Linked DNA regions of Kluyveromyces lactis. Each later gene encodes a partner of the first gene's protein in a complex. Links are inferred from orthologs where the notes say so. Each region holds a gene or a part of one and is shown on either strand. Other genes may lie near its edges.

The links.
Region 2: ISW1 (region 1) and IOC3 share a complex: the UniProt entries of both Saccharomyces cerevisiae proteins name them as parts of the ISW1A complex. The link is inferred for Kluyveromyces lactis from reciprocal best matches to the Saccharomyces cerevisiae genes ISW1 and IOC3.

Annotation. Positions count from the first base shown.
Region 1 is NC_006042.1:644,438-648,463, reverse strand, and holds the start of ISW1 (chromatin-remodeling ATPase ISW1), read right to left. Parts: upstream 2,815-4,026; coding exon 1-2,814. Other genes in the region: RRT2 (diphthamide synthase), read right to left, coding at 3,165-4,026. UniProt on the Saccharomyces cerevisiae protein: Catalytic component of ISW1-type complexes, which act by remodeling the chromatin by catalyzing an ATP-dependent alteration in the structure of nucleosomal DNA. They are involved in coordinating transcriptional repression, activation and elongation phases.
Region 2 is NC_006042.1:2,159,246-2,163,543, forward strand, and holds the start of IOC3 (Ioc3p), read right to left. Parts: upstream 2,823-4,298; coding exon 1-2,822. Other genes in the region: KLLA0_F23221g (uncharacterized protein), read left to right, coding at 3,989-4,298. UniProt on the Saccharomyces cerevisiae protein: Functions as a component of the ISW1A complex, which acts in remodeling the chromatin by catalyzing an ATP-dependent alteration in the structure of nucleosomal DNA.

The DNA.
Region 1 (4,026 bases):
TGTAGATGGTGGGAACTTCAACTTGAGTTCAAATAGTGGGTTTGCGCATTGGCTGATCTTTCTACGTAGAGCTTCTTGATTCATCTTTACTCGTCTCACTCTTTCTTCTTCCGTCTCAATATTCTTCACGTATCTTTCATAGTCTTCCACTCTTTCAAGATTGGCCCAGAATGCTTTAGCATAAGCCCTCACTTCTTCTTCTGTCTTGCTACCACCGAATTCAGCAGCAATGGCTTGAATAGAATTACGACCATGTTTACCTGATGCAGTAATGAACTTACGGAAATCCAACTTATTCCAGTTATGGAAGCCTTCTTTCTCCCATTCAATTTTATTATTAGTTTCCTCTTCTGTCAATGGTTCTGCATTGGCAATCGATAGCTTTAGAAGTTCTAGTTTATCTTTCTTTTCTGCTTCATCTTTCACGTCACCATAAGTTGTTACAACGTCATCAAGGTTGGGAACATAATTGTTTTTCTTTGCAATCCACATTCTTTCCTTTTCGTAAATAGCCTTTAATTGTGGTCTTAATAATTGGTGGCTATTTAGAGGTTGTAATTTTGGCATCTTTGGTGGAACCGTATATTGATTGTTACGTCCAGGGTTTAACACGTCTTTGTAATAATTATCAACAGAATAGTTAGCATTCGTTGAACGTTCACGTTTCGTAGGTGGGATAAATAGTGGGTTAATGATATCCTTTTCAACCTTCTTTTTAAAATTTTGACCATCCCATTCATATGCAGAATCTTGGTTGAATCGTTGAAGTTCATCCAAACCCAAAGTTGCATACTTGGCGTTCAAACTCCTGGTCTTATCTTCAGATTGTGCTAGCAAGGCATCCAAATCCACATCTTCATCCTTGTCCTTCCCATCATCTGGATGTGGTGTTCCAGTTTGACTGGTCATGGCACTACTGTCATTGCTCTTGAAGACATCAACAGCACCATGCTGAATCATAGAAAGTAATCCCTCTTTGGAGTCATTTTTATTCTCCTTCTTCTTGTTAGTGACTCGCCCTTGTTGGATGACTAACTGATCCAATTTTAGTTTCTGTGTAGCTCTTTCCAAAATCTTCTCTTCCACACTATTGTCAGTGACAAATCTGAATACCCGCACTTGCTTTTTTTGGCCAATTCTGTGCGCACGATCCATTGCTTGCAAATCTGCTTGAGGATTCCAGTCAGAATCGTATAAAACAACAATATCTGCAGTAGTTAAGTTGATACCCAACCCACCAGCACGAGTAGTTAGAAGAAATATGAACTTCTTAGAATCTGGTGCATTATAGTCATCAATAGCGTTGATTCTATCTTCGTGTGCAGTAGAACCATCGATTCTACAGTACTCGTACTCACGGAAATAGCAGTAATCCTCCAAGATATCGAGCACACGAGACATCTGAGAGAAAATTAGGACACGACTGCCTTGTTCCTTGAATTTTTTTAGTAATTTATCCAACACTTTCAATTTGGCTGAATTGTATACTAAATGCTCGTCAGTAGTGTATGGAGGACCTGGTTCTGCACCATCGAATAAGTATGGATGATTGCAACATTTTCTCAATTGCATGACAATATTCAACAAACGGGTTTTTGATTCCTTTTGACCGTTTGAACCATTAACTGCATCTATATCTTTTTCGAGAATCTGTTTATACCACTTTTTTTGCATTGAAGACATACCAACATAGACGTTCAATTCCTTTTTAGGTAGTAATGAACCTTCGACGTCGTTCTTGATACGACGTAGCAAAAAGGGACTGAGCACAGTGTGCAATTGTTTGACCACTTTTTCTTTATCCTCTTCAGATGATTCGCTAGAGAACCATTCATCAAAGGTTGCCGAGTCAGCAAAAATATCAGGCAATAAGAAATTCAATAAAGCCCAAAGCTCATGAAGATTATTTTGTAGCGGAGTACCAGTGATAAGTAACCTGTTACGAGAGGAAAATTCTCTAAGAACCTGGGATAGCATGGATTCTTCATTCTTAATTCTATGAGCTTCATCAATAACAACATACTCCCAGTCAATTTTTTTAAAGGAGGCTTTTTCTCTAATGATAATCTCATAGGATGCAACACAGATATCGAAATCGCATGCTAAAAGCTTATCGTGACATAGCTTAGATCTTTCCTCTTTATCACCTTGAAGAATGAAGGCGCTTACCTCTGGAGTCCATCTATTAATTTCCCTGAGCCAGTTGTTTAAAGTCGATTTAGGAGCTATCACAAGGAAGGGGCCATTCTTCTTTTCAATATATCTTAGATAACCCAAAAATGCAATGGTTTGTAACGTTTTACCCAACCCCATTTCATCTGCTAGAATACCAGCTAGTTGATTTTTGTGCAACGCTACTAGCCAGTTCAAACCTTGGATTTGGTATGGTCTTAACTGTCCGTTAACATAAGCTGGACTTTCTCTGAATTGGAAATCGACATCAGCAAGCTCCTCTTCCTCTTCTTCTTCATCTTTCATAAGTTCAGCATCCTCTTCCTTTTCAGTCTTACGTCTGCGGGCATCTGTATGTTTCTTTCCCTTACCATTTGCTTTGCCGTTGACATTATCAATAGTGTCCAATACCTCTCTAAATCTAGGATCCTTGGCAGCTTTCCTTTCAATGAAATGTCTGAATAAAGTAGATAACCCAAGCAAATGTTCGAATCTCTTTACTGTTCCCTGTTCATCAAATTTGCGCTTCCCTGATGCCAAATCACGCAGTGGTAGCAAGTATCTTTCTTTCTTCTCAGCAATGCTGTTGGGAATTCCCTCTTGAAAGGGTTTTAATTTCTCCAAATACTCAGGTGAATCCATCTTTAATGACGTGAGAACCAGTGAAACAAATTTGCTGCTTCAGATATCAGAAATTATGAAGCTCCTACTACTTCATCAAAATACCAATCTTTGAAGTCTTTTTCTTTATATTAACTGAAGTAATTAAATTTTAGATCAAAGGATTACTTACCCAGTTTTTCCAAAACTTTCGTGTTTTGGTGTTGCAGGATGAAGATACTTGAAGTCACGTGCGTTAATAAGATGAAACAAATGGTCCTATATTTAAAAAAGAATACATACTGAAGCTCATCGAAACAGCGAAGTGAGAACACATCAATTATGTCTCAATTCCGTCTGCTTTTTTCGTTCCTTTTAAAACTATATGTGTATTAATTTGGACTTTTCCAAAGTTGTAGGGACTTGTCATAAAAAGAACAAGTTGCAACTGTTTCTTTACTCCAATCACCACCGTAACACATTGATTCATGCCCTTCTTTTATAAACTGCTCGGTCACGAAATGATCGTTTTGGACGTTGACAACCTTCGCACCATTATACATGCAACAAACCATAAGTCTGTTATTTGACAGTCCGTCATTCGTTGGGGCCTCCGAGAATCTCCAAACACCACCCTGTAAATTGTCTTCCCATTTATTAACCACAGGGACGTCTGTCCCTGGATATATTGTGGTTTCTGAGAGCATTCTTAGATCAAAGGATCGTATATGGTCATCATAAGAGCCTGTGATTAAACTTGTTGGCTTGTTGCCTCTAAATGTCTCCCTAGCAGCCTTAATTGCCGTAACACCAGCTTGATGAATTTTTGAATTGGACCAGATCTTTTTGCCTGAATTCAAATCATGAGCTGCAATTGCAGAGTCGTCACCACCAGTGAATACAACATCTTTCAAAGGAGCCAAACAGCCGAACTCGCCGGTCCAGCACTCCAAAGAATGTTTGAAATGAAAGATTTGTTCATGGTCATTCTGAACATTTATAACTTTGATGTCTGCATTTGGCACCTCAATATAATTTATTGTTGAGGAGTCGAAATACGATGGCTCCACCTCCTCTATAAAGCATATTTCACCATGTATGATATCAACAGTAGCAAAATCCCCATTAGTAGTGGTTAAAAGTACGAGATTATCCAGCAATGGAGAAAACTGGAGAGACGTTATTAGACATGTGGGATCAAATACTTGAAGGTTGTTCAATAGTTTGATATCAATTGATGAATTATCATCGTCG
Region 2 (4,298 bases), about 1.5 Mb from region 1:
TATTTGAGCTTTCGCTTTTTGTGTGTTACGGCATTCTTTGAGTTTTTCTTCAAAGGCCTCCCACGTTTCTTAGGAACGTCTTCGTTGTCTTCGGAATCCAATTGATATTCTTCTTCAATCTCCTCATCATTATCTGAATGATCTTCATAGTCATTCCTGTGATCTTCGTGCTCAGAGAAAATTTCAGGCTCTTCATCCATTTCCTCCTCAGGTTGATCTTCCTCTTCTTCAACATTCGCAACAACCTCTTCATCATCGTCAGAGGGTTCCTGTGGAGCTTCAGTATAGTTAATTTTAGTCCTTTGAGATCTTCTCAAGTTCCGGTCCGTCGTTGAGATATCACCATACTCAACCTTTAGTTGCTCAAAGGTTTGTAGTAGTGATGACATTTTCTGCAAGTATTCCTTCAATATCAAGAATTTTGATCTTGATTTGTTGTATTTGTATTCTTTTGGTAATGGATTGCAGTTAAATCCCTCTACTGTATCTAATTTAGTGATTGTTGTGTCCTTCTTCAACAAACCGGCCGAAGGCAGGCCATTCGATGGTTCTTCTTTATCTGAGCCTATGTCTGAAGCGTTTACCGTGTCCTTTTGATTTGCTTCCTTCGAATCGTCGACTGTCTTTTTATTTTTGTTTGGTTCTTCCTCCTTGAACACTTTATACTCCAATAGTTTGATGAAATCTTGCAATGAAGAACTGTTATGGCACATTTCATACCAGTAAACTTTTCCGGTATTGGTACCATTCATCAAATCGTGAACCAACCCAGGGGTGTCATGATAATACAATTTAAACTGCATACTGTTCAACTTACCATCCCTACTGAATAGTTCGAAGGGTGTAATTGTTCCATTTTCAAACTGTTGTAATGTCTTCAACAATGTTATGGGATCACAATAATTAGTCGGAATATGCTTTTTAGCTTTTGAAGATTGATAAGTAAACAACCTTGGCAAGTAAAAATCTCCAACGTAGGGAATTCTTCCAATAAAGAATTCGAGACATCTTAATTTGTATATTTCATCTTCATAGGGGTCATCCAAAGGTTCCCGATCATGAATTTCTTCGAAGACCAATTTAGACCATTTCGAATAGTCCCGTTCCACGCTTACTGCTAACGCGTCAAACTTCTTTTTCTTATCTGTTGTGACTTGGTTGTACTCTTGTCTATACTCTCTCATATTTTTTTTGAGTTCATCCAGTAAAGCGAACTTTGCAGATAAATCTTGACGGGTACCACTTTCAAGTTGTTTTTTGACATGCTTTTTGGATCTACGCAATTCCATTCTTTCCTTTACCAAAGTACATAGCTTCTTGAAATGTTGATGAGCAGCATCTATGCCCTGAACAAGATGTCTTGGAGCGTGGAAGGTTTGAATACCAAAAGAGGGGTCTTTCTTTAGATGCGATAAACGGTATATCTCTGTGTGTATCTTCTCTGAATATGAAATACACCACTGCGTCAATGTCCTTAAAAATACGACCCTGTCAGATGGCATTAGTCCCAAAAGACCAAGTCGTTCCAAATCTGGATTATGTAATGGGTCTTCTTCCAAGGGCACGATCAATTGCTCAGTCCACTTGTAAATGTTTGGGGTTAAGATCTCAGGATGATTAGGATCAACAGCTTCAGTGTCATCGTGTTCAAACAATTTAGTGCGTTCCGCATTTAAAGTTGACTGGACCTTCCATTCTCTAGGATATCCAAATTCCACCCCTTTATGTCTCAATTCAGATATTAGTTTGAATGCTTTGGATGAAGTCTGCAGGGATTGCAATGTGCTATGCGATTTGCGATTCAAAGTCAGCTCCATTAATACAACATAAAGTAAATTTGAGTAATCCTGGCAGCGTCTAATTTCCCTTGCTGGAATATAATCTGCATAATACTGAGGAAGATCCTGTTCGTCGTCTATATTTTCTGGGTAAATATCAAGGCCAATTTCGAGGTCTTGAATAGATAAAGACCATAGTTCCTGAGGCAAAAATTTATGAAATTTGTTGATGAATGACATGACAAAGACCAGATCCTTTGCATATGGTGCTTTCCTCATATGAGGGAACTTCAATCTCGAAAAAACAGATGTTTGGGTCTTGAAGTCAGTAGATAGGACTGGTAATTGTGGTGCCCAATTTTCGAGGAGAATTGGGTTAACAGCTAAACTTAACGAAGGTGCTGGTTTTGATGCAGATTTAGAAAGCTTGATCGCATCCTTAGGTAGAACTGGCTTCGATGTTTTTCCATCCGATCGACTTTCTAAATCACCGGAGGGTTTGGGAGAATCCTTTTTCTTCAAATCGTCAGCGGTTTGTTTCTTAGAGATCATGCTAGCAACACTTTCTTTCGGTTTGCCATTGGTTTCAACATCGCTTTTGCTTTTCATATTAGCCTTTTTACTTGTTGTGCTATTTTTTTTATCACTGTTGGCATTGATGGCAGACTTTTTTTGGGCATTCTTTGCCTTTTCCTTATCCTTATCATTGTCCTTATCACTTTTCTTCGGCTTAGCCTTATTGGTATTGGATGGCCTATCATTCTTCTTTCCCTTCTTCGTCTTAGCGACCACTTTCCTATTATAAGGCCTTTTCTTTCTGGAGTGTTCTGGTTCTTCATCGCTTTCCACTTTTCTCTTGACTAGCACTCTATTTGATCTTCTTCTCGATATAGGTTCATTCAATGGAGAAGTGTCTGTATTTGATTCTGATAGCTGAACGGCAAAATTCTTAAAGTCTGTGATAGAGGTTTGCCCGTATTTCTTCGCCACGGGATGTTCCTCGGGAACTACCTCGATCATTTCTTCCTTATTCTGAGTTTCCATTGCACGAATGGTAAAAGACTTATCAAACGTGTAAAGTATCTTTTACTACCTTCCTGTGGATTAATACCGAATAATGTAATTGTTAAATTGATTAGCAAACAAAAACTGGAATGATCAAATCCTTTCTTCAGCTGGTATTACTAGTCTAAATGGACTTAAAACAAAGACAACCAGTCTTTAAGTTCTGCTGTATCGAGCACTGACTATCGAATAGGAGAAGTTACAGGTCTGGTGAATTAGACTCACTGCTTGATCTTTAAATTGCAGAAAGTCGTTTATTTAAACAAACCTGGTCCTCGTTGTAAAAACTTTTTGTTCCTTTCATGATTTCTATCAAATCGATTCTTTCGTTGGAAAGTAAAGTAGGTCGACGCGTTATTCTGCCAATTAGGCGGCAGGTTCCCAGGCCATCGAAGGGAAAAAAAACCAAATTCCAAGGTCACGTGCACAAATTGTTAGACTGGATGCCAATGGTTTTACCAGGAACAAACTAAACGTAGTGAAAGGTATTGGCAGCGTGAATACCGTAGCGTTTATACATAATATTCAAGGGATAAGATGCGATTATATACAGAGGAAGTGATTGTGAAGGGGAATAGACATTATGTTTCAGTACTTTCTTTTAATTTCCAAGAGCGAACTGGGAATGACGTGAAAGGGCGAAAAATAGGAGAAGCTGGCAGTCCTAGTAACTTGAAACCTGCACTGAACATTCTTACTTTCATATTGAATGACTGGAATTTTCATCTAGCGATAGAAATAAGTAGAACATTCTTTGCTGTATGGAAGAAGGTCCCTGTATGGTCAAAATTCTTTCTAAGAGCCGAAAGTTACCGGATAGGACATTCTAAAAGTTACCGGGTACCAAGCTATAACGATAGTTAGCTTTGCCAACCCTTACAAAAAAGCTCAACCGCACACATCTATTAGCCTGAATAACTCTAAAAAATATATCGAAGCTTATATGCACATCCTCGTCTCATCTCATCACTGCATATTTCGGCAGAAATAATTAAAGTTCTTGTACATAAATGCAAAGAGTGAAAAAAAAGTTGCAGCCTCACTATCAGCCATCTTGATGAGAAGCAAATATATAACGGAGTAAAGAAGATCCATCGGTGTGAACTTCTGAGGCAAACACAAAACATACCCTTCGATACGCAAGGATGACGGCTCGACCAGAGTTGAACACTTTACATAGTGCTGCCACAGAACCGACAATTATCCATTCGAATAATGAAAGCCTGAATGCTTTAGACTACACAGGAAATGATGATAAAAGTGTTGCTCTGAGCAATGCTATCAGCCGAACAAACTCGACAGGAAATAAGATACCAAAGAAACGGAAGCCCAGACGGATGTTCACTACGCCTGGTAGATTCCAACAGCAATTGGCAATTCCAACGAGTTATTTGGAGAGAAAACCAACAACCAAGGCAGAAGCCAAAGGGTTTTACTATTTTGTATCCTGCATGA